Rattus norvegicus: one gene and its partner. The protein of the gene in region 1 interacts with the protein of each later gene in a biochemical or structural test. Links are inferred from orthologs where the notes say so. Each region holds a gene or a part of one and is shown in the gene's direction. Other genes may lie near its edges.

The links.
Region 2: the proteins of Hdac3 (region 1) and Nr2c1 form a complex in vitro, tested with the Homo sapiens proteins (4 studies listed by BioGRID). The link is inferred for Rattus norvegicus from reciprocal best matches to the Homo sapiens genes HDAC3 and NR2C1.

Annotation. Positions count from the first base shown.
Region 1 is NC_086036.1:30,031,378-30,047,207, reverse strand, and holds the start of Hdac3 (histone deacetylase 3), read left to right. Parts: upstream 1-6,182; 5' UTR 6,183-6,246; coding exon 6,247-6,301; intron 6,302-6,395; coding exon 6,396-6,478; intron 6,479-8,383; coding exon 8,384-8,526; intron 8,527-15,830. Other genes in the region: Fchsd1 (F-BAR and double SH3 domains protein 1), read left to right, coding at 1,345-1,400, 1,519-1,584; Rell2 (RELT-like protein 2), read right to left, coding at 2,630-2,662, 2,782-3,154, 3,401-3,586, 4,010-4,076, 4,171-4,236, 4,597-4,780. UniProt on the Homo sapiens protein: Histone deacetylase that catalyzes the deacetylation of lysine residues on the N-terminal part of the core histones (H2A, H2B, H3 and H4), and some other non-histone substrates.
Region 2 is NC_086025.1:30,596,523-30,612,352, forward strand, and holds the start of Nr2c1 (nuclear receptor subfamily 2 group C member 1), read left to right. Parts: upstream 1-6,084; 5' UTR 6,085-6,244; intron 6,245-6,271; exon of another isoform or gene 6,272-6,707; intron 6,708-7,168; exon of another isoform or gene 7,169-7,272; intron 7,273-15,697; 5' UTR 15,698-15,716; coding exon 15,717-15,770; intron 15,771-15,830. UniProt on the Homo sapiens protein: Orphan nuclear receptor. Binds the IR7 element in the promoter of its own gene in an autoregulatory negative feedback mechanism. Primarily repressor of a broad range of genes.

The DNA of each region.
Region 1 (15,830 bases):
TCAGAGCCAGGTCCATGCTCCTATGTCACCTTCTGCTGTGTGACTTGAGGTGGGAGGCTTAACTTGTCTGGCCCTTGGTCTATGTTTTGTGTTGTTGTTCTTTAGTCTTTGGAGTTAGGGCTAACCTTGAACTAGCGCTCTTTCTGCCCCAGGCTCCCCAACATGTTGGCATTAGAAGTATGAGGCACCAGCCTAGCTTGGTTTACATTCTTTATAAAGTGAAGGGAAAGGCATTGCTTTATTTATTATTAGGGCCTAGGGTGATGGCTCAGTGGTTAAGAGCACTTGCTGCTCTTGCAGAGGACCTGTGTTTGATTCCTGGCACCCACATGGCAGCTCACAGTCCTCAGTAACTCTAATCCCACGAGATCTGACTCCCTCTCCTGACTATAGTGGGCACCAGGCATGCATGCAGCATGTAGACATACATGCTGGTAAAACACTGGTAGGCGTGGTAGAGAAGGAAGAAAGTTATCCAAGATATCTGTTAAGAGTGTACAGCACTGGGGTTGGGGATTTAGCTCAGTGGTAGAGTGCTTGCCTAGGAAGCACAAGGCCCTGGGTTCGGTCCCCAGCTCCAAAAAAAAAAAAAAAGAAAAAAAAAAGTGTACAGCACTGTGCTAGCATACAGTAAACATGGCTGTTTTAGATCATTAGTGTTTTTGAAGTTTGCTACCTTTTCTCTCTGCATTCTTATAGCCTCCCAAAGTGTGTTTTCCTCTTAGTGTCCTTCAGTACTGAAATACAGTACTCATCTTGGGGCTGTTTCCTCTTATCTATTACGATGCTTATCTATTGGGTTATTTTCTTGTGGGTGCTGGGGATCAAACTAGGATCGTGTTCATGCTAGGCACACATATCTACCACTAACTTATGTCCACAGACCCAGTCCCTATTTCCCACCATCAAATACTCAGCCTTTCTAAGATATTCTAGTATGCCCACCTTCTCAGTCACCCTCCCTGAGTCCAGGGCCACCACCATCTCTTCTAGCATTCCTTTTGCACTTGAATAATTTAGTACTTGGGCATTCCCTCTCTGTCTCCGTCTCTCTGCCTCTGTCTCCCTGTCTCTCTGTCTCTGTGTGTCTGTGTGTGATATTACGGGATTCTCAATAGAGAATTTGCACTCCACCCCGTTTCTTGGGTACTTTGTACAAGGCAATTGTGCATTAAGTATTTGTTGAGAATGGATGGACTAATGGATTTTATAGCTCAGGCTGGTGATTTTTTTTTCTTTTGGCTAAGTCAACAAGTATTTATAAAGTATCACTACCCTAAGTGCTGGAGATGCAGTATGGAGCCCATCAAAGCTTGAGAATTGACTTTTGGTTTCTATTTCTAGACAAAGTCATAGACTGCCCTGGACCCCTAGACATGATGGTGCCTCGACTCAGGCCGGTAAGGTGCCCTGACTTGGGTCATTCCTATGGCCTTATTTTGTTTGCTGGGCTGAAGTAATGGACAGGGCTATTCCTAAGACAGATTCCGGAGCACTGATTATGCATGTCCCCTGCAGATGCGTCCACCACCTCCCCCACCAGCCAAAGCCCCGGATCCTGGTCATCCCGATCCTCTCACTTGAAGGCCAGGAGTCACTGCCCTTCGGTGATGCTGCTGCCCCTGACTCCATGCTGACAGAAGCCACCCCCTCAATGGTCTGGAGCGACATAAGCAAAAGCTGCAGTCTTCCCCGATGTCCATTCTCACCTCCGGGGGTAGAAATTTACCCTGTTCCCATTTCTGGGATTTGAACCCACACCCTCCCCGTATTGTTCTCCTGCCATTTCTGGAAGTACCCCTTTGACTTTGTGCTATCACCCCATATCTAAGGTGGTAAAACACCACAAAATCTTCGGGGCTGGAACCCATCTCCCAAAGCCTTGCATGGCTCTGGCTCATCTGTGTCTTCACCCGGCCTCTGTGGTCAACCCCACCCTGAATGTCAGGGTCAGTAGGCCTGGGGCCAGGAGAGGACTTTGGAAGTCAGAAGGAGCTGAGCCAGGATGCAAAGCAACTGTAATGGTCTGAGCGGATTTATTGACAGTGAATAAAGGGTATGAAGTCCAAGACAGGGCTTGGGCCTCTTGTGCCAAGACGGCAGGGAGCCTAAGGTGCTATTGCTTTAGGGGCCCACCGAGGGTAGGGCCTGGTCCCAGCTGCCACGCTCTAGCATGTGGAGCGAGGTTTTGGGGAAGGCAGGCCAGGCAACCTGTTGGCAGGTGGGGAAAGGGAAAAGATGAGGGGCCAGGAAGTGCGAGGGGCTCCTCCTGAGGTCCCTCAGTCAGGACCATCTCCAGATGAAGTAGAGCTGGTCCCTCAGCTGAGCGGCAGAGCTGGCCAGCGGAGGGGAGAGTCTTCCTGGCTGGCTGTCCCCTGGCAATGCCTGCTGGTAATCCATCAGCACAGTGAAGACTGAGGCTTGGAAGAAAGAAAGGAAAAGAGTGTTGCTTCCTAGTCAAGTTCTGTGCTCCAGCCACTTATTTAACTCCTGGAGGACATCTGTGCCCACTCCCCACACACTAAACATATAGTTCACCCCCAGGGTTCAGGGAGTTGGTGGACTCGAGTAGTTTAGACACAGGGTGGGAGGGTGAGATTACCTGATCTCGAGCTCAGGGAGACTCGCCTCACATACCCCCTGCTTCTGGTGGTAGAGAGTCCTGAGAGAAGGGGAGGTATTCAGTGGGAACAGGAGGTGGATCATATCCATGTTGCCCAGAGTAGGAACCGTAAGATGTGTCCACCACTGCCCAGCGCAGCCCTGACCATGTCTTCATACCTGCTGACCTGAGGTGTCCAGTTTGGTTGGCTGTCCATTTGCTTCTTGACTAGGCAGCCCTGGGCTTGGGCCTGTCCCTCTAGTGCCCACGTTCAGTTCTGCAGAGGTACCAGGGGTCCCCTCAAGTGTACAAGGGACTAGGCTGGCATCCTTGAGTCTTCCATTCTGCACTGGGTGGGTGGCTGCGGCCTGGGAGGGTGGTGGCTCAGGGAGCAGCCTCTCAATGGCAGCTGTCCCTGTCCTAGGCTGCCCTCCAGCCACCTGACTAACCCCTGGTTCCTGTCCTCCACCAGAGCCCCAGCTTCTGTCTGTAGGGGAACCATCACGGTGTTCATGAAGGCCATAGCGCTTCTCAATGTGTGTCACTCGGAATCTGGGTGGGAAGAGAACATTGCAACTCAGGCCTGCAGCTCAGAGGCTCCCTAAACCTCCCTCCCTGGGTTTGATGGCAGTTTCTGTGACCTGGGGTAGGGAAGCCTTCTGAGACTGTGGGACACTGTGCAGCCTGACCCTTGCTGTAGTCGCCCAGTTGTTCAAAGAAAGAGCTGGGCCCCACCTTGGGGGACAGGATTATCGGGGCCCCAATTTAACCTCTTTTCTTGGACCACTATATCCCCACCTGCCCACTGAGAATACAGTGGTCTCTCCAGGTCTTGGGCGGCCTTTTCCTTCCTTAGAGCGACCCTGGCGGACAAGTGGGGGCCTCTTGCTGCGGCTGCAGTGGATGCAAGGAGCTGCAGAGCCAAGGTGTACTGTGTGATGATGAGAAGGGGCTCCATCCTGCAGGCTGGAGGTGGCATCCACACTGGTCCACAGGAGGGAAGGGAGCAGAAACAATATTTTCAATTTCCTTCCTGGTTCCTCCTGTTCTTTCAATATGCTCTTTAAACCTCCACAAACCCCACCTTCCCCAGGTTCCAACATCCCTTTGTCTTTAATAAATTCACTGTTAAGTCCCAAATAGTCATGTGTTCTTCCTGTTTACTAAAGAGACCAATGCTTAACCAAAGGAAGTGACACCAGAGGTGTATGCTAGGCTGGATGGTGTCTAGATGGGAGACACTGAAGGATAAAAGATTCCTACAGAACTTCTTTCATAGGTCAGTTAGCCTTGTTCACCTTACCCCACTACCACTACCAAACTTCCCATGGTGCTTGGAAAGACTGTATTAGAGGAGACAGCACTCCAAGGTAAGCTAAGTCATGCTGGCCCTTGTCTCCAGCTCACCTGGAGAGCTGTACCGTCCCTTCTCCTTCACTGTCCCCTAGCATCTCCTTCAAGGCCTCAGCATTGGCTGATGGAGAGGGAGAAGAGGGAGTCAATGGAGGTAGAGGTCAGGGCAAGAGAAAGTCAGTTTAGGAAGGAGTAAGCTGTTGGCCTATACCCACCTTCATTTTGGATGATGCAGCGAACAATCCGCTCTACTGTGTCCTCATTCACGTCATCGTCTTCAGCTGAAGGATGAAAGAAGTTGGCAAGGAAGCGGGAAATGAGTCAGCTTTGGGGTATCATGACCTGATGGCCTCATGGACGATATAGCTCAAGACATATCCCTTTACATAGCTATGTGCCTTAATGCATCAGGCCAGAAAAAGTAGGAGAAGAAATGGGTTTCTGGTGCTACCATGAGTGGACCCCTTTCTCTAGCCTCTGATTCAGGGTGGAGCCACTCTACATGCAGACTCAAAAATGCATCATAAGCTATCTTTTGGACTTCATCAGGATTTGGGCTGGGTCTGTGGCCAGGGAGGCAGAAAAAAGTTTGGGGAGAAGGGTAAGGGAGACTTAATCAGGGCTCTAGGCTCCTCACTCACGGGGCTGGAGCTGGGCATCATCAGGCTCTGAGCCCCTAGATGTGCGACAGCGGTAGCCTTTCTTCTTGAGCACGTGGCAGATCATGAAGCCTACAAGGCCCATGAGGAAGAAGACCAGCACAAGCAGGAAGAGCATGTACAGCCCATGTTGGGGCGGCTCCAGGCCAGGCTGTGGTTCCGACATGAGGCCCTGGGGGGCGAGCGCGGGCCAGGGCGCCTCCTGGGTTTAGTGGGCTGCAGCTGGGGACCGGGCAGAGTAGGAAGGCGTCTTAGGATTCGAAATAGGAGGCCCGCCCCACCCCCTACCCAACCAAGGAGCTGTCCGGACTAAGGGTGCTGGTCGGCCAAGATCTCCAAATGTTGGAGGCCAGATGGCAGCTATGCAGGCCCTCTGCCACGACCGGTCCCACTTCTCTGATATCTAGACCGCTATCTTTTACAGCTCATTCCACGCCTCCGTCCCTCCCAAGGACACTGCAGCACGAGATGGGGCGAAATTCTTAGGCAGCGAGCCCAGACATCTCGCTTGAGTCAGTGTCTACACCTCCTCTACACTGGCCTGAGCCAGGCATCATGCACCCCCCCCCCCCAACACTTGCATTCCGGGATCCCTTCTTTTTCGGTTCCTCCCACCCCGACCACCTGGCTCACCCGGTACCGGTGGTTTGGTTCTGTCTCCGGCTCCGGCTCCGGCTCGGGTCCCGGCTCCAGGGGCGTCCTCGTCCGGCTCAGGGCCCCCGACGCCCTCCCGGAGCTCATCCCTTGCTTCTTCCCCCTCCCCCCTTTGCCGCCTCACCGGTTCCGGGCTGGTGGCTGCGGATACCGGTGCCGCGGCAGACGGGGGGAGGGAATGATGTGGGCCAGTTGGGAACCGCGACAGGCTCCGGACCACTCCGGCCAGGGAAATGGAGGGGATGGGGGCGGGGATGGGGGCACCTCCGAAACCGTCCTGGGTTCCCAAATGCCTACTCGCGTTGCGGGCCTGGGACCAAGGGGCGGAGCGCAGGTGTGCGGGGCGGAGTATGTGAGCCTTACGCGTGTGTGAACGCAAGTGAGATGTGCGCGTGACTGCACCGCCCTTCCTCCCCCCCCCCGGAGGGAATGTGCAGCGCGAGTCGAGCGAGGGTCGGGAGGTCAGGAGAGGCTTTGGCCACCAGTCTAGCCCTCACGTCTAGTACAGGTCCTGCCCTCAGATTACCCAGACGACTGGGAAAGCCAGCAATCTTCCTAGTTCACTGGGGGAAATTTGGCTTTCTGCACCAGAGAAGGGCAGTGTTGCCAGATCTTCCGAGGTTCCTAGAGAGAAATCACGACCCCAAGACCCGTTTGAGGGTAACAGCTGGACGGAATGGCTCGGTTTACTGAGGATATGACCCTCGCCCCGAAAGAAGCGGCTATTTTATTCTCTGAATGATGCCACGGGTCCCCGTCCAGGTTCCAAGTCTCAAGCCTCGGAAACCGGACCAGGGCAGCATAATGAGGGGCGGAACTCCCCAAGGGGGCGTGGCCAAAGCCTAGCCTTGGGAGGCGGGGCCGAGGGCTCCAGTTCTGCAGAGGTAGGCGGCGTGCTTGCGCAGCACGCACGGCGGGGGTGGGGCTGGCGTCCGGCGGCGGGCGGGCGGCTGAGTCGGGGCCTGGTCCCCCAGCACCATGGCCAAGACCGTGGCGTATTTCTACGACCCCGATGTGGGCAACTTCCACTACGGTAGGGCTCAGGATTGTGCGGGAGGAGAGGTTTTGCGGCAAGGGCTGCAACTCTAGGGGTAGGGACCGACCAACTCTTTTCTTCCCACCCTCAGGAGCTGGACACCCGATGAAACCCCATCGCCTGGCATTGACTCATAGCCTAGTCCTGCATTATGGTCTCTATAAGAAGATGATCGTGAGTCTTGACACTTCTGTAGGGGTTTGGGCCTGGGAGCGAGCAGCGGCCTTAGACTAGGTGGGCTGGACTTACCAGGTGCAACCTACGTCTAGAGGAGGGGGAGAAGGGGAGAAGGCACCGGAAACATTCCCTATGTGCAGGGCAGTGGTGGTGGTGGTAGTGACACCCCAGACTTAAAAGGAGATACGTTTTTGACCTTAGGTGGGATTCTCTTTTAACTTGAGGGCAGACCAGTCTTTGGCCTAGCATTAGGGGACATTTTAAAGACAGGTATGTTCCATCACCACTTCATTTTATGTATGTGTTGTTGGGTCAAACCCAGAGCTTTACATATGCTAGGTGAGTGCTCTGTTACTGCAGTACATTTCTAGTCTGCATTGTAAGGTAGACAGTGGTGAGAGGTGGGAGTCTATTTTGCCCATAATCCCTGCTCCTTCTCCTCTGCCCATTTACCTGCTAGGAGCTAGAACAACTCTGCACCCTTTGTGGTGTATGTGTGTAGAGATATCTTGGGGCTTTGCTTTTTAACGTAGATTATATCTGTCTTTACGGTTCAATTCAGTTATGCAGGTACTGTTTCTCCGCAGCTTAGAACTGTGAAATGGGAAAATAGCAAGCCTGACCCTGGTGCACCAGGAAGGTAGTCAACATATAATCAGTGTGTTGAGGTACAGGCAGAATGTTTGGGAGTGGGAAAGACTGAGGTGATGTTAGTATAAGTCTGTGTGGTCTTTTATGCGTTTTCTAGAAGAGAAAAAAAAAGCGTTTGTTTTTTTTTGCCCAATTTTCAAAGTATTGTTTGAACCTCCATCTTGCCCCCCTTCCCCAAGGATAATAAATCTTTGGTTAGGACATCGGGTTTCAGTTAGGTTGTCATATAGCTCACATATTTTACCCCACAGTGAAAAACCCAGAGAACAGAGCAGAATCAGAGTTTAGGAGAAGAGATAAGTGCAGAAGGAACCAGGCCTGGAAGAGCAGGAACTAGGACCAGAGCAAGTAGGCTGGGAGCCAAGGCCAAGAAGGTAGATGAGACTGACTGGGCTGAAGGGAAGAGGGAGATGAAGTGCTCTTCAGGGATCTTGATAAAAGTAGCTTGCCTAGCAGGTAGCCTTTTTTTTCACTCATCGAGTTGCTGTAGAAGAAGGAATAGGGGGGCAGGAAGATTGCTTTGGACAGTGTCCAGGGCTGGGATCCCTGTGAGTGGTTTCAGCCTGGTGACTGGCATAGCATTGCCTAGCCTGTTGCCAGGTTTCTTTGTCCAAACTTCCAAACTGAATCTTTTTTTTTTTTCCCTTCCTGGCATTGTGTGGAGCCAGTAACAAGACCATGTGTTAAAGGAGCAGTGAAACGGACTTTTGTTCTCAGGAGATAACATCTCAGCTCACACAGATCAACAGGTTATAGCTATCAGTCGGGTTGCAGTGATGGTTCAGTGGGTGAAGGTGCCTGCCTCTGAGGCGGATGATGGCCCAAGTCTGAACTCTGAACCTCCAATGACCAAAGCAGAGAACTGACACCCTGACTTTAATATAGGAAAAATTTTAATTAGAAAAGAATTTATAGATACAGGGTAAAAAATGAGGGAGAGAGACTGATGATAAAGAAAAGCCGTGTGTGTGTGTGTGTGTGTGTGTGTGTGTGTGTCTGTGTGTGTGTGTCTGTGTGTTTTCTGAGACTGAGCAGAAAATTTCTGAGAATTCAGAAACCAACCCCTTTCCTTTTTTGGTTTCCACTTGTTTCCATGGCAGTTGTCACCTGTTGTGGTATTGGGAATGCCCTTCAGCATTTAGGTGGGATTATAATTAAGTAAGGTCTTACCTAGTTCATCACCCACCCTTCTGGGGCTGAGCTAGCACCTAGGCAGTTCTCAGGTAACAGCTTCCTATTTGTCTCCCCCAGGTCTTCAAGCCTTACCAGGCCTCCCAGCATGACATGTGCCGCTTCCATTCTGAGGACTACATTGACTTCCTGCAGAGAGTCAGCCCCACCAATATGCAGGGTTTCACCAAGAGCCTTAATGCCTTCAACGTGGGTGACGACTGGTGAGGGCAGGATGGGGTTGTCAATCACTGGGAGGCTGGGCCCTTCATGGAGGCGTCGGTGAATTCATTCATTCATTCGTTTGTTCAGTGAATGCCTGCTAGTCATTTGTTCTATCCCAGTCAGGCTACGTATGAGGGATACGATGGTGAGAGAAAATGACAAAGTTTTAATATTCTACCTTGCAAAGCCCTGTGAAGAAGTCCACAACTGCGTGTGGACTTGGAAGAGTTATCCAGCCTTGGGGCAGGGCTGGTCTTAAGTGCAGTGGTAGAGATTGAGTTGAGGTCTGAAAGATGGCTGGAAGGAGAGGGAGGAACTTGAGTAGGAGGGACAGTGTGTGCTAAAGGGCTGTGCTAGGGTGGAACATGACTTCTCTGAGGAGTACCAGAAACACCATCCAGAAATAAACAGGAGAGTGAGAGCCTGAGGAGATGGGTGGGGGCCTTTTTAAAGCTTAAGGCCTGAGGCGCCTCCCATCTGTAATCCTGGCACTTAGGTAGAAGCAAGAAAGTTATTAGTTCAGGGCCAGCCTACATTATTTAGTGAGACCCTGTTTTTGTTCTGTTTGTATTTGAAGTAAACAGCTATGCATTAAATCAGTGGTTTTGTTCCTATAGGAATGATTTGACATGATTCTTTTTGAATATTTTTGTTTAATGATACTAAGAATTGAATCCTGTCCTTTGTACATGATACTCGACTTTCTGCTTATAAGCTACATCACCCCTAATCAGACCAGGTTAACACGGAGCTTGTATTTATTGTAGGCAGAAGACTCAGGGTTGGGATGCTGGAGAATGGCTAACAAAAATGAGCCACAAGCCTTGCTAACACTCCAGGGTACATTAGTGAAAAATAATAAAGGTATTGGCTTAGACAGATGTCTCAGTGGTTAAAAGCACTGGCTGTTTTTCCAGAGGACCTGAGTTCAATTCCTAGCACTCACATGGTGACTCACAACCATCTGTAATGAGATCTGATGCCCTCTTTTGGCATGCAGTCAGACATGCAAATAGAGCACTTATATACATAAATAAATACATTTATTTAGTTTAAAAAAGTAAAACACTAATAAGCATAATAGCTATGGAAAACTCAATACTGTTGGTTTTATTTTCTTATTTATTTATTTACCTATGAGACAGGGACCTCACTTTCCAGCCCTGGCTGGTCTGAAACTCCCTATGTAGACCAGGCTGGCTTCAAACTTAACAGAGATCCACCTGCCCCTTCAATTCCATGACTAAAGGCATGCCCCAGCATAGTGGACACTGTTTAAGTTTATCATTAGGGAAAATCAAACATTTTTGAAAGCAGAAGAGTAGTAAATCTGAGTACATTCCTTACCCAGCATAAATGCTAAGCCTTTTTTTCTTTATTTCTGGTGAGACCGGGCCTCATTAGGTAGTAAATTCTGGCCTTGAACTTGGAATCATCCTGTCTTAGCCTCCCAAGTGCCGCGATTCTGGCACATTCTTCCATATCTGGGCAGTCTTAAGTTATTTGTATCACCCCATGTCACATGATTTTAAAACAAATCCAAGATCCACATACTCTAATCCATAAATATTTTATTATGTATCTCTAAGTGATACTCTTAAAAATATCAGCATCAGACCTAAAAAGTTAATCATTTTTCTTTAATGAAAAATGCAATTGGTATTTAAATATGTCCATTTCTCTTCTTTTCTATCTCTGTGTTTCTCTCTCTCTCTCTCTCTCTCTCTCTCTCTCTGTGTGTGTGTGTGTGTGTGAGAGAGAGAGAGAGAGAGAGAGAGAGAGAGAGAGAGAGAGTATATGTATGTGTGCATGATATATCTTATTTAAATTAGGATCCAAACAAGGTTTACACATTCATATGGTCTCCTGAGACTTAATGTGTCATTTTTCTCTCACCTTTGAATTTACTTTTTGAAGAAATGAGGTTGTTGGTCCTCTTCGTTGTTTCCTACAATCCTGTTTGTTGAGGGTAGGGACCCTATTACGCATGATGCTGAGGGTTGCAAATACATGTAGTCAATTTTCATAGCAACACTGGACAATAATAGCCTTTTTCCTGGGGTTACACCTAAGTAAATGGAGGTATGGGGAAATTTAGTAGTTTAGCTTGAGTCACAACTGATGAGTGGATGCAGTAGGACTCAGTTCCGGAACCTAGGTTTCTTGTTTGTTTTAAGATAAAGTCATGCCACATGGCCGCAGGCTAGCCTTGAACTTGTGATCCTGAAAGTAGATTAGAACAGAGCTAGGTTTGTAAATGGATTTCCTAATCTGTTTTACTGAGTGAGCGACTAATGGAGTAGTCCTGGCTGTAGGATAAAGGCCAGCTCCTTAAGCTGCCCTGAACACTTTCCTCCTGATACTCAGACCTCACTCCCACAGAGTGGGGGTGCCCTAGGCTCTCCACATAGCCTGTTTAAAGCCTTCTCAGCTTCCACACACCACTTCCATTCGGTTTCTCATTTCCCTTTTCTTTTCCTTAAAACAATTTTACTCTGTGTGTGTGTGTGTGTGTACCACATGTGCTGACACTATAGGGGTCTGAAGAGGTCATTGGATTCCCCAGCAGTGGAGTTACAGGTGGTTTTGTGTCTCCTAATGTGGGTGCTAACACTGAGTGCAGATCCTCCAGAAGAGTTAACAAGCACCTTATCAGCCGAGTCATCTCTCCAGATGTCCCCTCCCTCTTTGTTTCCTTGTCTTGTTTTGTTTTTCAAGACAGAATCCTTTTATGTAGTCTGTGTCATCAGTGAACTGGTGGTTTTCCCACCTCAGCTTCTCAGTACTGGGATCCCAGGTAGGTGTCACTGCTTGGCTCGGCATAAAGCTTTCTTGGCAGCCTTGGCCCATAGAGCTCTGCCCTGTGCATGGTGTGCCACTCATTTGGTGTTGAGTTACATACAGTCTTGGACAGTTTCCTTTTCTTTCTTCTTCTTCTTCCCTTTGTCTTGTTTTTTTGAGACAGGGTTTCTCTGTAGCCCTAGCTGTCCTGGAACTCACTCTGTAGACAGGGTTGGCCTCTAATTCACAGAGCTCCATCTGCCTCTGTCTCCTGAGGGCTTGCTTGGATCAAAGGTGTTCAGCGCCACCGCCGACCCCTCCTCTTCTTCAACCTCCTCCTTCTCCTCCTCTTCTTCCTCCTCCTCTCCCTCTTTCTTCTTTCCTCCTCTTCCTCTTCTTTTTTTAAAAATTCACTTAGGCTTTTTCTCCCAGTTTAGTTTCCAGGTCTGAGAATGCAGAGTCAGCCCGCAGGCCGCAGCTGGAGCCCTGTAACTGTTCTTGGGAAGTGAGGGAACACTGCCTCTGGGCTTCGAGATCCCTGTCATTCCAGCAGCGTAAACTATAGCTGTGCTTATGGGTTCTGTGTTTCAGAGGAGAAGCGAATTTTTTTTTTCTTCCTTTTTTTAAAAATTAATTTCAAGTTGCTTCCTGATATGATGGCTATATTGATCCCAACTGAGAAGCCTGGGGCAGGAGGCTTGCCATAATTTGAAGCTAGTCTGGTCTACAAAGTTAGGTTCCAGACCAGCCCAGGTAAATTGTAATTTAAAAATAAATAATCAATATTCATAGTCAAATTATAATTTGGGGGAAAATAATTTCAGACCTATTCCATCCATAAATCTCTCTTCCCACTTTTACCTATTTCTCTGGTGTTTATTTTATTTATTTCATTTATTTATTTGTCTGTTTATTTTCCGAGACTTTGCTATGTAGCCATGGCTGTCCTGGAATTAGCTCTGTAGACCAGGCTGGCCTCAAACTTAAGAGATTCATCGGCCCCTGACTTCCGTGTGCTAGGTAGGATTAAAGGCACATGCCACCCTGCCCTGCCATGGTGTTTATCTTTACATCTCAAAATAATAAAACTACTTTATTGTTGCAACTCCTACTAATCCGTAGTATTTGGATAATACCTACTATGCTCTAGGTAGTGTTTTGAATGCTTTGCAGCCATCTTCTAAGCATCAACAACCCTTATCAAGCAAGGTTTACTACAGTCTCCTTTGGACAGATAAGGATTCTGAGGCAGAGCTCACTGCCCAACCTCACCCGACTACATGGGTGAATGTAGGTTGTCTGCCTTCTGACTCATGCTTCTCTACTGTATCATCTCTTACTGTTGCTACTTCTATCAATTTTAGGTGTTGTCTAATAAGCGGTGTGGTGGTTTGAGCAATTCATTTTCCTATACCATCCCAGTATGCTCCCCTTCTGTCCCAGTTCACAGTGCGTAATATCACAGTTTATATTATTAATGTATTTACTTACTTGGTAGTTTATTTTCTCATTTATTTATTTGCTTATTTTTGGAGGGGTGGTACATGCCTGGAGGTCAGAGGGACAGCCTGTGGGAATAGGTCCCCCTATGGGTTTCACAGATTAAATCCAGGTCGTCGGTGTTTGTGGTGAGTTTTCCCATCTGCTAGGACATCTTGATACCCCCTTATTTTTTTTTTTTTTTTTTTGGTTCTTTTTTTCGGAGCTGGGGATCGAACCCAGGGCCTTGCGCTTCCTAGGCAGATACCCCCTTATTTTTATGTTTGTTTATTTGTTTATTTATTTAGAGGCAGGGCTTCTGGAACCTAGGTTGTGTAGCCAAGGATGACCTTAAACTCCTGCTCTTCCTTTCTCTACTTCAGAATGCTATGGTTATAGGTGTGAGCCACTCCATCCAGCCTCAACATTTTATTTTTTTATTTTTATTTTATTTATTTATTTTATTTATTTATTTATTTATTTATTTATTTATTTATTTATTTATTTTTGGTTCTTTTTTTTTTTTTTTTCGGAGCTGGGGACCGAACCCAGGGCCTTGCGCCTCCTAGGCAAGCGCTCTAACCACTGAGCTAAATCCCCAACCCCTTTATTTTATTTTTGAGACAGGGTCTCCCTGTGTATTCTTAGCTGGCTTTGGAACGCTCTAGAGACAGTCTGGCTATAAACTCACAGAGATTTTCCTGCCTCTGGTCCTGAATGCTAGGATTAAAGATGTCTGCCACCACACCCAGCCTTCATGTTTTAAAATTAATCAGTCTTCTGTGCTTATATGATTAATTAATTTAATTAGTTAACTAAATAATTTTTTTTCTGGGTTTTGTGAGACAGGGTTTCTGTTTAGCCCAGCTGTATTAGAACTCACTCTGTAGTCCAGGCTGGCCTTGAACTTACAGAGATCTGCGAGCCTCTGCCTTCCAAGGTCTGTGATTAAGAGCATATACATCCACTGCCCATCTATGCTTACATTATTATAATTTAGCTGCCAAATAGTACTATTATTTAACCTATTTTTCTGTATAACTTTAAGTAGAATTTATAATTACATTCTTATTTTCTCAATTTGCTTAGTTTTCTACTTATCAAACACAAATTCTTTTAAAATCCTTTGAAAAAAACCATACAATTCCCTATACTTTTGTTTGCTTGTTTTTGCAGTCCTGGGAATTGAACCAAAGGCTTTGTGCATGCTAGGCAAGCACTCTACCACTGTGCTACTAATACACTACCCAATCATATTTACTTACGTGTTCGATGGTGTAGGCTGTACTGGCTTTTTTGAAACCTAAAACTAGGGATTTATTTTTTTTTATCGTGGTACCTTGGGTTTGGTCATGTGCATACTGTACTATTGTCTTTAAAAATTTAAGCTTGATATAGTTAAAGTATTAATCTCTTTAAGCTTTATTTTATATATGACTGCTTTGCCCTCCTGCATGTATGTATACCATGTTGCTAGTTAGATCTTTAGGAACTGGGTTTACAGATGGTTGTGAGCCAACAGGTGGGTGCTGGGAATTGAACTCAGGTCTTCTTAAAAGCAACAAGTGTTGTTAACCACAAGTCATCTCCCCAGTTCCTATTTAAAATATTTTTAAAAACTAGGTACAGTAATTTTACTTTAAAAAGAGGATTTGTTTTTATGTATGAGTTTGTATATATCTATGTGAGTGATGACATATCATATGTATGAGGGTACTCATGAAGGCCAGAAAAGGATTTTGGATCCCTTGGAACTGGAGTTACATACAAGTGGTTATAAGCTGTCTGATATGAGTACTGAGAACACAATTTGGGTCTTCTGGGAGATGCTTTAATTGCTGAACCATTTTTTAGTCTAATTCAGCTTTTTAAGGTATCCTGTTTCTGTGTGTGTGTGTGTGTGTGTGTGTGTGTGTGTGTGTGTGTGCGCCTGTTGCTCATGCTTGTGCATAAGGACTCATATATAAAGGTGTGTGTATGCCTCCGCAGCTGTTTGGTGTCACTTCTCAAGTACTATCCACCCTGTTTGTGTTTTTGTTGTTTTGACAGTATCTCTGTAGATCAGCTGTTCTGGGACTCACTTTGTAGACTAGGCTGGCTGGCCTTGAACCTACAGAGATCTGCCTGCCTCCAGAGTGTTGGGATTAAAGGCATGTTCTACTACACCTGTTCACTTTGATTTTTTAGTTTTTTTGTTTTGTTTTTGTTTCTTAGACAGGGTTTCTCTGTGTTCTCACTGCCCTGGAACTCTTTCTGTAGACAAGGCCAGTCTCGAACTCAGAGATCTACCTGCCTCTGTCTTATCGAATGCGGGGATTAAAGGCATGAGCCACCACCGGCTGGCTGCCACCTTGATTTTTTTAAACAAGGTCTCTCAATGGCCTGGAACTAGACAGCCACCCCCTTAAAACTGCCTCTCCACAGCTGGGATTAGAAGCATAAACCACCAAACTTGACCTTTTTTTTTTGGAGCTGGGGACCGAACCCAGGGCCTTGCGCTTCCTAGGTAAGCGCTCTACCACTGAGCTAAATCCCCAGCCCCCAAACTTGACCTTTTTACATGGGCTTTGGGACTGACTCAGGTCCTCCTGCTTGTAACACAAGCACTTTAACTGACCAAGCTGTCTTCCCAGATCCGAGGTGTCATGTTTCTGTGAGTTTTGATACAGTACGAGGGTACCGAATATTTCCTTTACTCTACAAATATAGTCACCCCTTCTCTTCACCTTAGCCCCAAGCAACTATTGATCTGGTCCTTATATTTTGTCTTTTCTCAAGTGTTACATAAATGGAATTGTGCAGTGTGTAACAGGTAATTGATATAGCTGACATACAGCTTTCTGCGGTGACAGTGAGCAGACGGCTTTCAGTTAGGTGTCTCATTGCTAGTGTTCCACATAAACAGGAATGCAGTCTTTAAAGTGTGCAGCCAGGCAGTGGTGGCGCATGGCTTTAATCCCAGCACTTGGGAAACAGAGGCAAGTTTGAGGCCATCCTGGTTTACAGAGTGAGTTCCAGGACAGCCAAGGATACACAGAGAAAC
Region 2 (15,830 bases), on another chromosome or scaffold:
ATTTTTAAGAGTTTTGATGCCAAGTCAGTGGTGGTATTTATATCTAAAAGGATGTCACATTTTCTGTAACATGTACTTTACAAGTGATCTAAAACAACTATTTTTAAAGGAAATTTTATGCTACTTTGATTTGTTCCCCTTAACATTTTAAATGTCATCTTTTTTTCTTTTTCTTCTTCCTATTCCTCCTCCTCCTTCTCTTCCTCCTCCTCTTCTTCCTTCCCTCCCTCCCACCCTTCTCCCTCCCTCTGTCTTGAGACACAGTCCTTCAGTGCAGCCCAGGCCGGCCTGATGCTCACCGCCCTGCCTCACATCCTATTTAGATGTGTGCTACCACACGGACCTTATCAGTCAGCGTCCCTCGATAGGAAAGGTCTGCATTCCTAATTCTGGCATACTTACTGTTTAACACGCACACCCTCTTGCATGTGTTGATAAGCAGCAGGAGAAGGAAGTTATGCTTAAAATTGTGTCAGTGTTTAAATATTTTGTTGACTGAGTTTAAACTGTCAGCTACAAGGCAGGGTTATACAGAAAATATCCTATTAAAGGCTATAAGAATTTTCTGCCTCATCATGGTTCTTAGTGCGATGTCAGTAGTAGAGAATTATAATCTGAATACTATTTTGTTTTTATCCTGAACACCATCACAAGGCCTTTTGGATGCCATTCGCTGCAGATTAAATAGACCTAGATGTAGCAGGTCCAGGTTTTCTTGGATGTCGCTGGCTACAGCACAGTTTGAAGCCCCGTACAGTTTCACAGAATGCTACATGCTACCTTCCTGGCCACAGGAAGCAAATTAGTTCTTCGGAACATATTTTAATTGGATCCCACATGAGCATCCGCGTAACGTTTGTAATGCACTCTTTTTGGAGACAGGACTCCTTTTACTTTATATTTCTATCTTTTGTGTTGAATTCTCAACCTCGTTAAAATGTTCTTTCTTGTAAGCCTCAAAAAAGTCTAAGAAACATTAACTAGGTCTTCTGTTTTCTAACACACAACAGAATCAAGAAAGTATTCAAAATCTGTACACACATACAGAGAGAGAGAGAGAGAGAGAGAGAGAGAGAGAGAGAGGTGTAGAAATCCGTGTGTGATTATATTTGCTTAGTCTTATGAAGAACTTTGCAAAAGGCAGCATATGAGCTCTCAGATCGTGACCCCTCCCGTAAGACATTCTAAATGTAAGATTGTGTTCCCTGTCCCCTGATCCCTTCATAAACCACTAAGGACTGCCAACCATGTATTTAACATGGCTCATTCAATGGCATTTGATAAGAACATATTTATAATTTGTTGTAAAACTACTTTAAAAAAATATCACTGAACCCAGGGACTCAATGCAGATACTCTACCCCTGAGCTTGCCCCATTGCTAACATTTATGGACAAATGGTGCCGGGGCAGTCTAGATGTGGAGAACATCTCTCTCCTGGATCCCGGAATGCTGCTCATTACACATGCGTGTGCTGCCACCAGACCCCGGCTCCGGTGTCTCCTACCCTAAGCCAGAAAGTAACGGAGACAAGATGGCAGGCTGAGCTGGGAGAGGGGACATTCTCAGTGTCCCCAACAGTATTCCTCCTCTGTCTGCAGCAGCTAAAATAGAGGATGGCACCCCACCGCGCCCCCCAATTCCTAAGAGAAGGAAAAGGAACATTGGTCACATTATCCTGTTTCTGAACCTCTTTCTGTTTTCTGATGTAACCAGTCTCGGTCTGTTTTCCCTGACGGCCCTTGTTTTTTCCCCAGTAAGAAGCATGACTCTGAGTACAGACTGATGTTTTTTTAAACGCTGTCCGACATCCCGCTTTGATTTATAACAATGGAATGGCACTGAAGGAAACAACTCAGAAGTATGTTTTTGTCTGCCGGATACGTAGAGGCTATGTAGGAATGGAGGAGCCTCCTATGTGAGAACATAGTGTCATCACCATGTGCGGTTATGCCTTAAATGCCCTTCCGCTGGGCTCATTATAGTCAAAATGCTGGAATTTCCATAAGCAAATCCTACCTCAGTGTACTCCTGGATCCTTAAGGATAGACACCATATATAATCTGTGCGTTTCTAAGGGATCTTCGCAGCTTTAGTTGAATACATTGAAGGCAGAATTCCCAAGGTGTTTTGCCTTGAGTAAGAATCTCACTGTTTTTCCCAAGACAGCTCCTGCTGCCTCCCCCTCAGGGTGTCACCCTGCCTAACTCAGTCAGCTACCACTGACGTAGTCTCCAAAGCCCTTCCAACCCAGGTCATAGGCCCACGTTCCTCACCGTCCTGCAAGCCCACAGTCATGGCAAGACTAGGGCTCAGCTTTCTCCCTGCCTGTTTCCTTCAGGACTCCACCTGGACTCTGGAACCTGACTGAGTCTCTCTTGTCCTTACCGTCTTCATTCTTCTGCCCCTTATGGGTGCCACGCCTTTCCCTCTGAGCCACAGTGGCACACACTTGCTACCATGGATGAGGCCCCGGATTCAAGCCCTTATCCAGGAAAGCAACTAGCTTTTTTTTTTCTTCTTGGTTTTAACCCCCTTTTGTGTAGTCTCCTTTAGACATATCAAAGCAATCTGCGTACAGCAGAATTCTGATTTAGTTGCTATTCCTGTGAGCTTCAGGGCATTCTGAGTGGTTTGGCTGGCTTCAGCCTTTTTCTGTTCCTACCATTCCCATTGTCCTCATATCAGTCAGCCCAGCTCTGCCCATTGTTCTGTGACACTTCCCAGTGATAGGGTCCTGTTCTCCTCTCTGTTAGACTATCCGAGCTCTCTTCCTTGGCTTCCTGTGATCACTAAACAGTGTTGTCCTTCTTACCAAATTCTGTCCTTGAAAACATTTTACCTTGTTCACTGGAGGTCGCCCACATCCAACAACTGTCTTCCGTGCAGTGAATAAATGTTTGCCTGCTGAGTTAAATATCTTCAATGGGTCCCAAAAAAGTATCTTCGGTACCCATGCTCTGGAGTGTACGTCACTTTTAATTTTACTTTCTAAATGCAAATCCATAGTGTTTTCTCTTACAGGAAAAGTCAGTTACTACTGGGAAGGAATTTTAAGAAAGGAAACAGCAAAGACAGCAGTGGTTCTGATGGGAATTTGCCTGCTAGGAAAATAAGTTTAAAGGTGGTGGGAGCTTTTAAAAGACTAAATATCAAAGTATTTTGTTTTTCTCTTTCATGGAGTTATTTGCTGCATGTAAGAACCAATTTCAGAAAAGAAATTAATCACTTTTAATTCTCAAAACACTTTTTTTAAACATAAAGTGATCATGGTTTGTATCTTACTGTTCATAAGAAATTTTATAAATAAAATAGCATTGTAAATAATGTTAATATGTATTATAATTCATACAAAATAAATGCACTGTGATATCTACTGCTGGTGTGGAGTTCGTTATTAGACGTTTGGGGTTGTGCTCATGTGTTGATGCCGTGCAGTCCAGGGTGGCCCTCAGCGTTCAGACTCTCCACCTCATCCTCCTTAGCAACTGTGATTATGGGCATGTGACCCCCAGACCCCCTCTGACAAAGTCTTCCAAGCCTTACCTTTAAGATGAACCTCACTGGCCCCTTATTCTAGAGTGTGACCAAGAGAGACACGTCACCTGGAGCAATCCTCTAAAAGCCGCTTCTGTTTCCAGGACTGATTTATTCATATGGTTGCCTTTGAGACAGGCTCGCCAAATATTCATAACAATCTCCCTGCCTGGGCCTACCGAGTACTAGTATTTCAAGCATCAACCACTGCGCCCGATTTTAAGACGTCAGCATCTTGTGACTTAAGTTCATGAACTGGAGGTGAGTGGTCACCCTGGTAACCACAGCGTGCCTTTGGGCATGTGTATTGAGTCGAGAATAAGGAAAACGTAGTGAGTTCCCCTGTTCCCTCCAACCTGGCTTTCATCGTGTTCACCTCTGGGCCCAGCTTGAGGTTATTGGAAAGGCTGCGTTACGGGCAAACCAAGCAGTACTAAAAGGCAGAGGCAGACTTTCAGAGAACTAAGTGTGAAACAGTTCTAACTGCTAGGGGAGGCTGTTGCAAGTCCTCCTTCTAGGTCTAAATACTCAACTCCAAAGAGAAATGGCAATGTTTTCTTAGAGATGCAGCCCAGGCTAGCTTCAAACTGACCGAGCTCCTGTTCCTCCTGCTTTACTTCCCAAGTGCTAAGGTTATAGGCATGAGGCAATGGGACCTTAAGGGACAACTATTCTACCTAGCACAAAAAAAAAAGTTTCCCCACCCCAACCCCTAACTTCAGTTTCTGCCTTGGACCGGGCTGCTTTTCTACAGTGTTTAATCTCGATGCAAAGAAAAGTTCCAGATCACCTCAAAGTCTGAACCACACAGTACCTAACATGTGACCAGAGTTTCCAGCCACAGGTGACCACTGTCAGAATGTGATGTTCTGGTAGTGACCTTTCGTTTTGCAGATCTTTATTGACCAGCGGGAACTGTTAACTATCTGGGGACACATCGTCCAGCAAAATGGACAAAAGGAACATAAGGTCACGGTAGTGGTTGTGGCCTTGCTCTGAAAGCAGCCAGGTAAAATTTGACTCCATTTTGCCTGAGCCTGTTCTTGTATTGCTGGGAAGTTCTATGTGATTGGGGTCTACACAGACTGTGTTATAGCTCTGCTCTGGCACGGGAAAGGTTCTTCAAATATGGTACAGCCTGCCAGCTGTGCGCCAAGGAACACTACAAAGTCACATCCACACCACACAACAAACCTCACTCAAGATTTACTGGGAAGGAAAAACCAAGGACGATGTCTGCCTCTTTGAGACACTTCAGGGAACTAAGCAGAAAATGGGCTTTATATAGGGTTTCTTGGGGTGTGGGGCTTTTCAGGGTGGCCTGCAGTTGGAGAATTATGTGGCCTGATGTTGGCAAAAGCTTGAGGATTGGTGCGATCCAATCCTCTGTGATCAGACTCTGGGACAAGGTCTTACACTTGGGTTAAGTCAGGGTCAGGGTGTTCTTTCCTGGGTCCTGTTACCCCTCTGCAGACTCTTTAGCTCTGGTGACCTAATCTAAGAGAGTGCCCATAATGAAGTCCAGACCAATTAGGTTGTTTATTATTTCTCAAATCAAAACTTCCTTTAAGGGGCAGGAGAGATGGCTCAGCTGTTAAAAGCGCATTGGCTGCTCTTGTAGAGGTTAAATTCCAAGCACCCATGTGGCCACTAAAAAACCATCTGTGACTTCAGATCCAGAAGATCTGATGGCCTCCACCTGAACCAGGCGCACCTGCAGTGTACCAGGCATATATGCATGTAAAACACCCATATAAAGGGATTTTTAAAAAATCTTATAGCACCAGAGAGGGAGGCAGGAGAATCACGAGTTAAAAGACCAGTCTGGGTTTCAACAGGCCCTGTTCCAAAAGACTTGTCTTTTCTTCAGGCCTTCCTTCCTTCCTTTTTTTTTTCTTTCAGTAGTTCTACTTTGGGGCTGGAGAGATGGCTCAGTGGTTAAGAGCACTGACTGCTCTTCCAGAGGTCCTGAGTTCAAATTCCAGCACCCACATGGTGGCTCACAACCATCTTAATGAGATCTGATGCCCTCTTCTGGTAGGTCTGAAGACAGCTACAGTGTATTATAAGTAAACACATCTTTTTTAAAAAAGAGAAAAAAGTTTTACTTTTTTTAGTATAGGGTGTTCGACCTGCACATGTTTGTGCACCAGAAGAGGGCACCAAATCCAGTAGAACTGAAGTTTCAGAAGACCATGTGGGTACTGGGAATCAAACCGTGTTCTCTGGAGGAGCCACAAGTATTCTTAACCATTGAGCCATCTCACTAGCCCTCGGGTGTCTTTGACTTCTAATTACGTGTGTTTGGGTATGTGCACTTGGGATCACGAGCCCGCAGAGGCCCTGGCACCAGAGTTGCAGGTTTTGGAAGAACTAGACGCTCTTCACACAAGACATCGGGTGGACACGCAGCGGCGGCGGCGGCGGCGGTCTCCCTCCACACCTGCAGGGGGCAATCGACTAACAGAACCGCCGCTGGACTCCCGGGCCCTCGGCTTCGCCCAGGGAACGTCACCACGGCCGGCCGCTTCTCCACCGCGCTAATGCGCAGGCGCCAAGAGCACCGCGCACCGCCAAGCCGAGGGTGGGGTCACGAACTCTGACCCCCACCCCCAAATACACAAACCCAGAAAGCTCTCCTGTCCCCTTGGCCTCGGGTCCCCTCGCCTCTGCTCTCTCCAGCCCAGCGGCCGCCACGGCGGGAGGGGTAAGTCGGGTGCTGGGCGGCCCAACCGCCAAGCGTCGTGGCCCGAGCGCCCGTGTCCCCAAGTGTCCCAGCTCCCGGTTACCCGAGTGCCGGGTGGTAGCGGACAGCTCAATGCCGCGGGAGGCCGGGCGGGGACGGTGACCTTTCACCCACAGGGAACGCTTCCGTATCGGCGCCGCTTCCCCCGCCCCGGGGCTGCGCGCGTGGTAGGTGCAGGGGAGGGAGCTGCGGGGCGCGGGACCCGAGGGGCCATGTACCCTTGGGTTGCGGGATGACACCTCCGCCCGCTTAGGATCCTGCTTGCCCGAAGAGGACCAGCATCTGCTGCGGCTGTATCTTTGAGGGAAGGTGGCCTAGGGCTATCTCATGCACTGGGCACATCAAAGCTTCCACTAGCTCTTTTGTTAGGAGCCCTGCCACCAGTTTCTTCAGATAATGTCTCCCGATGTGCAGATATTACCAGGTTGTCCCCTACCCCTGAGTTAAGCAGGGTCAGTCAGCCTAAGCTGGGAAGGACAAGCAATTTAGACTTGAAGTTAAATCCGTTTGGGGCTTTTCTCACCGGCTTAAAGTTGTTAGTATGTCTTAGACTTCGAGGGAGGGGTTTTTCTTTGTTTTTAAAAGTGTCTGTGTGTTTACCCGGTTGGGAAATTGTCTTTAAACTTTATGTATCCACTTTAGTAAATTTGGAAAGAGATTATTGATCTGTTCTAATCACACAGCAAAGATGAAAAGGAAAATTGTTCAGGGAGGGTGTCCTGGGAGTTGTAGTTTGGAGGGCAGAAATTCAAGTACATTAGAGGAGATTCGAGGAAGGTGAGAAAAGTGGGAGTTTATTGTGGACCATTTGATATTGAGAAAGAACAGAGGCTGGATGACCTGTAGGAAGGAGCCAGGCTGGTGACGCAAACCCTATAATCCCAGTACTCAGGAGGCTAAAGCAGCAAAGGTCACCTGGAGTTCTTGGCGAGACTGGCTTGGAAACCATGTATCCAAACCCCAGAAGACGTATGGAAGATAAAGGAAAGGTACTATGTCCTTTGTATCAATATGTCCAGTAACCTTTTGGTGTGCATCTTGAATCTTTGGATACAATGTAATTTTTCTACTTGCGTAGTTCCAGAGACCTATAGTCAAAGGGTGGCAGTGACCAGAATTCCTGTTTCCAGGTTAGAGCTTCTGTACTGTTCCCTTGTAGCCTCCTAACTCTGCTTTCAAAAGCTGTCTTAATGTTGCTTCCACTGATTAAAGAAGATACTTGATACTTGCATCCATCACAAACAAAACATATGGCGACAATAAATGTAACCGATTTCATTATTCTGTGTAACGCTTTCAGTTGAAAGGTTTTAAAGGGGGCTGGAGAGATGGCTCAGTAGTTCTGACTGCTCTTCCAGTGGTCCTGAGTTCAAATCCCAGCAACCACATGGTGGCTCACAACCATCTTAATGAGATCTGATGCCCTCTTCTGGTGTGTCTGCAGATAGCTACAGTGTACTTATATATAATAAATAATCTTTAAAAAGGAAAGAAAAGGGTCTTGAAGGGGATTGATTCAAGGCAACAAAGCCTGAATATCTACTGTGGGTGTGATGAAGTGTGTAATTCAAACATATAGCACTCACTATAAGATCGTGTGTGTGTGTGTGTGTGTGTGTGTGTGTGTGTGTGTACACACCCACAAACCTTTAAAAACCATCTCTAGAAAAATGGGCCTCTGTTGGAAAGTTTTAAGAATTAATAGAAACCATGGAAGTCAGTCCTTAAATCCCAGCTAACTCTTGCTGCATACAGTATACAGCGGATCATTCAGAAATGGTGGGTAGAATGGAATTTGAGCTGGGTCTCAGAGGTCAGGTAGAACAAGTGTGGTAGAAAAGATGTGTGCTGCAGAAGCTGGTTTCTGTTTAGTGTGATAAACTGCTAAAAGTTCGCCTCTGGGATTCCTAAGTAGGGAATTCCTTGGACTGACTGCAGGCTTTGTAAACCTTGATATTTAATGGATAGTATTTGGTGTAAAGGAACATGAACTTGTGACTTTCTGGGTGGGTGTTTTGCCCGCATGTATATCTGTCTACCACAAGAGTACTGTGCCGTCGGGGGCCAGAGGAGGTTTTGAGATCCTCTGTAACTGGAGTTACATGGTATAGAGAGCCACCATATGGGTAGAGGAACAGAATTTAGGCTCTTAACCCTTGAGCCATCTTTTCTGCCTAAGGAAGTCATTTTCAATTATAAAGTCATCTCTACTGTAAACACCTCCAAAGAACCGGTTTTCACCCTGTTTTTCCACGGTAGCTATTATTTTAGTAAAACTTTCAATTTTACCTTTTAACATAAATATATTACAGTTACTTCCTTGAAGCAATATGTTTAAATCATTGAATACTTCAAAAAATACCTGACAAAAAGCAATTTTGAGAGCCATAAGTCATTATGGGAAAAAAAAACCTAATCAAATCAGATTTCTGTCCCACCAAGATACAACGTCATCCTATAATTTCAGTAGCCTTCAAACACACTGCAATAAACCAAGAGAGTATTTTGCATGTTTCTTAAAACTCTCCAACATGAGGGGAGTCAAAGGTCGAACAGTTGTTAGCATCACTCAAAAGCACTTATTGTCTTAGCCACCTCTGCACGCTGAGGGGCTCCGTGAGCTGAGTCTGTTTGCCAGGGTAGGAAAACCGAGGGCAGAGCACAGCTTCCGTCCTGCCAAGCACAACTCTCTTGAGACTTTCTGGCCACAGGTGCCTCCCGACGGATCATTCATTGAGTAAAGGGACTTTTGTTTCTACAGAACTTTAAATTCTGTCACAAGTCAACATCCTCTCATATAATTTCCCCCGTCAACGTCTACGCAGAAACTTAATGAGACCTTTTAGCTGTGAACCTGCATTTGTTTAAAAGAAAAACATTGATGTTAAGATTAATACCTTCCCAGATTATGTGCCCCGCCCCCCAGGGCAACAAAGCAGATTTTCAAATACGCCACCTGTACTGCGACAGAATGCTAGTTGGGGCATCTTGCTGAATTACTTCCCTTAAACCTGCCAATAAAGGGATAGAAGTGGCCACATCAATTCTGGAACTTCTGTCAGAAGGAGCGCCCTTCAATGAGGAAATCTTAGGAAATCCATCACTGGCCTGGTCGTTGTAACAGACCACACACCCCCTGTACGTGTACACACACACACAGGTTTTGCAGTTAAATGGGAATCTTTGTAGGATACAAATGAACGTTTTCCGCTGATGGCAAGAAGTGTCCGGAGCTTTCTCTCCCCTTCCGTTGGACAGTTTTAGGAATATTTAAGAAATACTTTTTTGGGGGTTGGGGATTTAGCTCAGTGGTTAGAGCGCTGGCCTAGGAAGCGCAAGGCCCTGGGTTCGGTCCCCAGCTCCAAAAAAAGAACCAAAAAAAAAAAAAAAAAAAGAAATACTTTTTTGGTTCATTGCAGTGTGCTGCCTGCTTATTACGGTGTCAACTCAGCCCCTTTCATGTTCTCTAATAGCCAAAGCCTCAGTAAATATCAAGCCAAGGGGCTTTTTTATTTATTTATTTTCACATCATCATGATTATTAGAAATAAATCTATATTGCAAAGACGATTTGACTTAATTTTTTTTCTCATCAGTTTGGTTGTTCTGTAACCCGCCTGGAAAGAGTTAGACAATTATCCCTTGTTGGAAGATACTGGATCACACCATGAACCCTGAGATTGTGTTATTTACTGGAAAAACCTGTTTTTAGTTGAGTGTGGCTCAGCCCTAGCATGCATACCTTTAATTCAAGAGCATTCTGCTGGAATATTATAAACGGGGCTAAATAACTCCAACCATAGGTCGAGAGGCAGAGCAAGCAATCAGTTGACAGGAAGTGGACATAGGATCACTAAGGAAAAAATTTAGTAAGAGTCAGGAGGACGGATAAAGAGACGCACAGGAAGTAGAAGGGAGGGACATTCAGTTGAAGGAGGTTTTTTGAGACAGCTTGGGAGAGGGGCATTGCTGTTGGGATATCAGCCGAGGTCAGCTGGCTGCTTTCTCTGCCTCTGATCCAACGGGCTTTCAACCAAGCATCTGGCTCCCGAGCCTTCATTGGTAAAATCAAATGATTGAGATTTTGTTAAAAAAAACAGTGATCCATAACTGAGAAACAGTGTTGTCCTCGAAACAAGTGAATATTGCTTATAATAAACGCTAGCTTTAGTTTATGAAATTACACTTGTGCTTAACTTTTTAAAATGCTGTTTATAGCTGGGCAGTGGTGGTGACGCCTTTAATCCCAGCATTTGGGAGTCAGAGGCAGGGGGATCTCTGAGTGTGTAGCCAGCCTGGTCTACAAAGCAAGTTCCTGGATGGTCAGGATTACACAGAGAAACCCTGTCTCTAAAAATCAAAATAAATAATTTAAAACACACACACACACACACACACAGAGAGAGAGAGAGAGAGAGAGAGAGAGAGAGAGAGAGAGAGAGAGAGAGAGCAGTGATGGTTGAGGAATGTTGCTCAAGGGACCGGTCACCAAGCACAAGGCCTGTGCAGGCTCAAAACAGATTGGTCCCAGCACTGAGCAGGGAGCGCTCACAGATTCCCACCCCTGAACAAGATGTTATCTGTGGTAAATTCCCGTCTCCAGTGGAGTCTCACCTCCAGGCTGGTGCCACGCCCAACACAACATGAACTCAGTGACATTTTTCTGTCGCCTGGGCACTTTCTGTCTTCCTGCCCTTTCGCTACTTATTTTTATTTCTGTTTTTGCGGGTTTTTTGGGGGGTGGGAGGGTCTTTTGTGTGTATGTATGTTTCTTGTTTTCTTCTTTGTTTTAAAGAAAGAGAAGAAAGAGTATAAAATTAGGTGGGTAGGGAAGTGGAGAGGCATTGGGAGAGGGAAATTATGAACAAAATATATTGTACGAGTATGATGGATGCTCCTTTAATCCCAGCACACAGGGTGGAGGCAGAGGTAGGTAGAGTTCTCTGAGGTCAAAGCCAGCCTGACCTACAAAGGGAATTCCAGAACAGTCATGGCTACACAGAGAAACCATGTCTTGAAAAACCTATACATGCATACTTAATTACAATAAAAAAATTAGTCATATGTGTATATGTTGAGGGGAATACACTTAAGTGCAGGTGTCTGACCAGAAGGTGTCAGATCTCTGGAGTTACAGAAGGTTTTGAGCTACCTGATATGAGTGCTGGGAGCTGAACCCTAGTCTTCTGCAAAAACAGTACATGTTGGTAACTGCTGAACCATCTCTCCAGAAAATTATGCAATAATTAATACAATCCAGTAATGTATTCATCCTATTTTCCTATTGCCGTGACAACCATGGCCAAGGCAATTTATAACAGTATGTAATCTGGGGGTTCACAGTTTCAGGGAGCTAACGTCTATGACCATCCGATACTGGGGTAGTGACTGGAAGTTTACATGTTAAGACAGTGTTGTGGCTATTCCTGGTTGTCAGCTTGACTACATCTGGAATGAACTACAATCTGGAATTGATCCTGATCTTGAGGCTGGGAGACACAGTTTCTGACCTGGATCTTGGCATGGAGATCTTGAGGCAAAGTGGCCATGAATCCCTGGAGACTAAGGCAAGGAGATCTGAGTTCAAGGTCACCTGGGACAGAGCAAGTCCCAGATCCAGGCGTAGTGGTACACACCTTTAGTCTGGGCCACACCTTCTGCTGGAGACCTACGTAAGGACACTGGAAGAAGGAAGATTCTCTCTGCTTTGCCCGCTTGCCTTGTGGGACTGAGCAACTGCTGGATCCTCGGACTTCCATTCACATCTGCTGCTGAGCATAGTTGGGGAATTGGACTACAAATTCCCTTACTGTGTAGAGCCCACCCATAAGTTCTCTGACTAGAGAGCCCTGACTAAGACAGACAGCAACCAGAAGGCAGAGAGAGAGGGAGAGTGCGCACACAAGACCTAACTGGAAATTGCATGAGCTTTTGAAACCTCAAAACCTTCCCCAGAGACACACCTCCTCCAACAAGATCACATCTGCTAATCTTTCCAAACAACTCCACCAACTGGGGACCAAGTATTCAAACATAGGAGCCTATAGGGGCCATTCTCCAAACTACCTCAGTACTAATTTGATAATTAGATGCTATCGAAAGATGGTAGGAAAATATTTGAAAATTTTTTTATAATTACAAATAATTACATTATGGTTTTATGTAATTATACCATTATGTTTCTGTAAAAACAGAAACATTTATATGGGGGGAAGGAAATTCATGGCACTCAGTAGTCTAAGCTGACATGTGTCAGGCAGAGTCCATGGTGTCCTGTGTTATGACAGTATACACAGTCATGTCAAAATGCACACGTTCTGTGTTTTACAAAAAGATTTCAGTGAGAGCTGGTAAGATGGCTCAGTGGTTAAGAGCTGCCTGCCCTTCCAAAGTCCTGAGTTCAATTCCCAGCAACCACATGGTGGCTCACAACCATCTGTAATGAGATCTGATGCCCTCTTCTGGCCTGAGGATGTATATGCAACAGAAGACTCATATATTAAATAAAATTTAAAAAAGAAAAATAAAATCTCAGTGGCATGGTTCCATACAACGTGGACGGATGGACCTGTGCTGTCAGTGACACCTTGGATTTACTGGGTATTTGATTCCGAATTGAATTTTGGTCATTACACATTTAAAAGTCCTTTTACTGTTGCCAGGTATGTGCTGACTCCTGTGTTGGCCACTGCATAATTTTGAATGGGGGGTAGAGACCCACAGTTTAATAAGCTAGGAGGTTCTGTTAATTATACCATTTGTGTGGAAAGGATGAAGAGGTGGGGGCTAGCGGATGTGTTCGGTTGTGACCAAGGTTCTTAACTCTGAAGTAGTAAGGGGACTATCCTAACACTTTTGACATTTGATGTTCTATAATTTATGTGGCTACGTCGTCTGCATCTATGCCTGTGTACCGTGTGCATGCTTCATGCCTACAGAGACCAGAGGGGGTGTTGGGTCCCCGGAACTGGAGTTACAGCCAATTGCGAGCTACCACGGGGGTGTCGGGAATCCAGCTCAGGTCGTCTGGAAAAGCAGCCATCGCTCTTACCCTCTGAGCGTCCTCTCCAGCCCTCTTCCTCGAGCTTTTTGCTTTCTGCCTCAGGCCAGTAAAAATGCATGACCCTTCAGTGACTAATTTAGTCGTCTCTTGTGTGAGCTTTCCCTACGTCTTCAATGTGTTCTGTGTCCTTTTGCTCACTTAGTGAGCACTGCGTTCATTCTGCTACGTGGAACGTACATGGAACGCTTACTGCCTGTCAGGGACTATTCGATACACTTATCCACTTACCCACTCTTTAACCTCTCAGAGAGATGATGTTGGCTGTCTTATCCTGAAGAAGCAGCCTCAGGTTAAGTGCCTGAAGGGTATTATAAAATAAACTATGCATTTAGTCGCCGTTAGAGTCAGGATTACAACTCTGAATTCTAGCATCTGTAACAGGCCGACCATGAACTTGAAACTCTGACTTGAGCAATTTCAGGTTTTGACGTACGGCGGCAAACTACTCTCCTGGGAAGGCAGACTCGTTTTAAGCCATCAACGGTCTGCAGACTGCGTTGGCACTTGCCTGTAATCCCGATACTTAGGTGGAGGCAGGAGAGTTACAGTTCATGGTCAGCCTTAGCTTCATAGCAAGTTCAAAGCCGAACAGGCTACTTTGTACCCTACCTTAAAAACTCAATAAATAAAACAGGAGTCTGGAGAAATGGCTCAGTAGTCAAGAGCACTGGCTGCTTTCCTAGGGGACGCTCTTCTGGCCTCCTCTGACATCTGCATTCCTGTGCACAAGCCTACGTACATATACATAGTAAAAATAAATAAAAACTTAAAAAGAAAAGCACCTCTTACGTATGCCTCATTTTCTCAGCCATCTTGGGTGCACGAATTGATCAGCAATGGTGTGACACTGAAAGTGAAGAGGATGGGAAGCACAGTAACTGCAGGAATTAGAGTGTGCACTGCTACAGTGTGATGTTTAGCGAATGACAGCTCAGGGAGTGCCCCGCTTCAAAGGAATAGACAGCTATAGTGGTGGACACCAAGCCCCCTTCTGGCCTCCACACACAGACATGCACAAATAAATCACAAATTGTAAAAAATAGTGAAGTTGCGTTTAGATTAACCACAGTGGGCTTTGATGTGAAGATACTTGAAGACTAGATAGAATGTGGCTGCCCTCGAGGCCAAGAAAGAGACAGCACTTAGTGTGAACCTTGGCGAGCTGCAGTACCAACACAGGAAGTCATTAGAGGCTGCGTTTCAGAAGGAAGGCTCTTGTCTTGCACACTTGCTGCTTTTGTGTTAATGGGAATTGAGCTCGAGTCTCTTCTGCCATGGTAGGCAGGCATTCTACTTGGGAACTCTCTCCAACTTAATAGTGTTTACAGGAAGGTAGAGGAATGAGGGCTTAGAAAGGCAGAATGCACGGTGACGTGAAGGTGACACAGTAAATGGCTTTGCTGGGGGCGGCATCCTGGCCATCTCTATGTATGTTACAGTCGGGCCCTTCCCACCAGGCTTTCTTACAGTGGTTACTGAGCTTGGATTAGCAGCCTCCTGTGACACACGACTCAGACTCTAGCAGACAGCATTTGGTTACTCCCATAACAGATTGGGGCAGTAATATCCCATCACAAGGTCTACAGCCAAGTAAGACTCTAGATAGCAATCTCCACCCCAGCCCCCCCAGCTCTGAATGCTAGCCAGCAGGGAAGAAACTCCCAGCCCACCTCCATCGGATTTCTTTTCTGTCCTGTGACCAGATAGCATGGTGTCTTCAGGAGTAACGTCTAGTTCTCATGGGCACCCAACAGCAGCGGCAGTTGCCTGTATTGTCTGTGGGCCTCAGCCCTCCCTGGGCAATAGTTAGAGGTCACAGGAAGCAGTGTACTCCAGGCACAGGGGTTGGCTTATAGGAACTGCTCCATCCACTCCCACAGGTAGAATAGCTTTTAAAGCGTACGTCAGATGTACAAAAGCGGAATAGTCACCTGAATCCCCCCGCAGGTCCCGTCATCAGCTGCCAGTGTCCAACATCGCTAGTGCGTGGCAGATCTTATTTGATCTAGACCTGTGGGTTGTGACCCTTTTGGGGGCCACGACCCTTTCACTGGGGTCACATTTCAGATATCCTGCATATCAAACACTTAAATTTCATAACAGTAACAAAGTTACAGCTATGAAGTAGTAACAAAAATAACTTTCTGGTTGGGGTCACCATGACACGAGGAACTGTATTAAGGGGGCAGAGCATTAGGAAGGTTGAGAACTACTGGGCTATTCCCTTTCACACACCTATGCTGGATTATTTTAAAGAAAACCTTAGGCAGCATATAACTTCACTTAGAGTTTCTTCAGTAAACACTCTATGTATATAATTATATAAAGGCCTTTTTTTTTCATCTTTGGCAGATATTTTGACAATTAGATCATGGCGACCATAGAAGAAATTGCACATCAGATTATTGACCAACAGATGGGTGAGGTATGTGTCATTTACGGTTCATCTGCTGACCTACCGAGCTTTCACTGTCTATGCTAGATG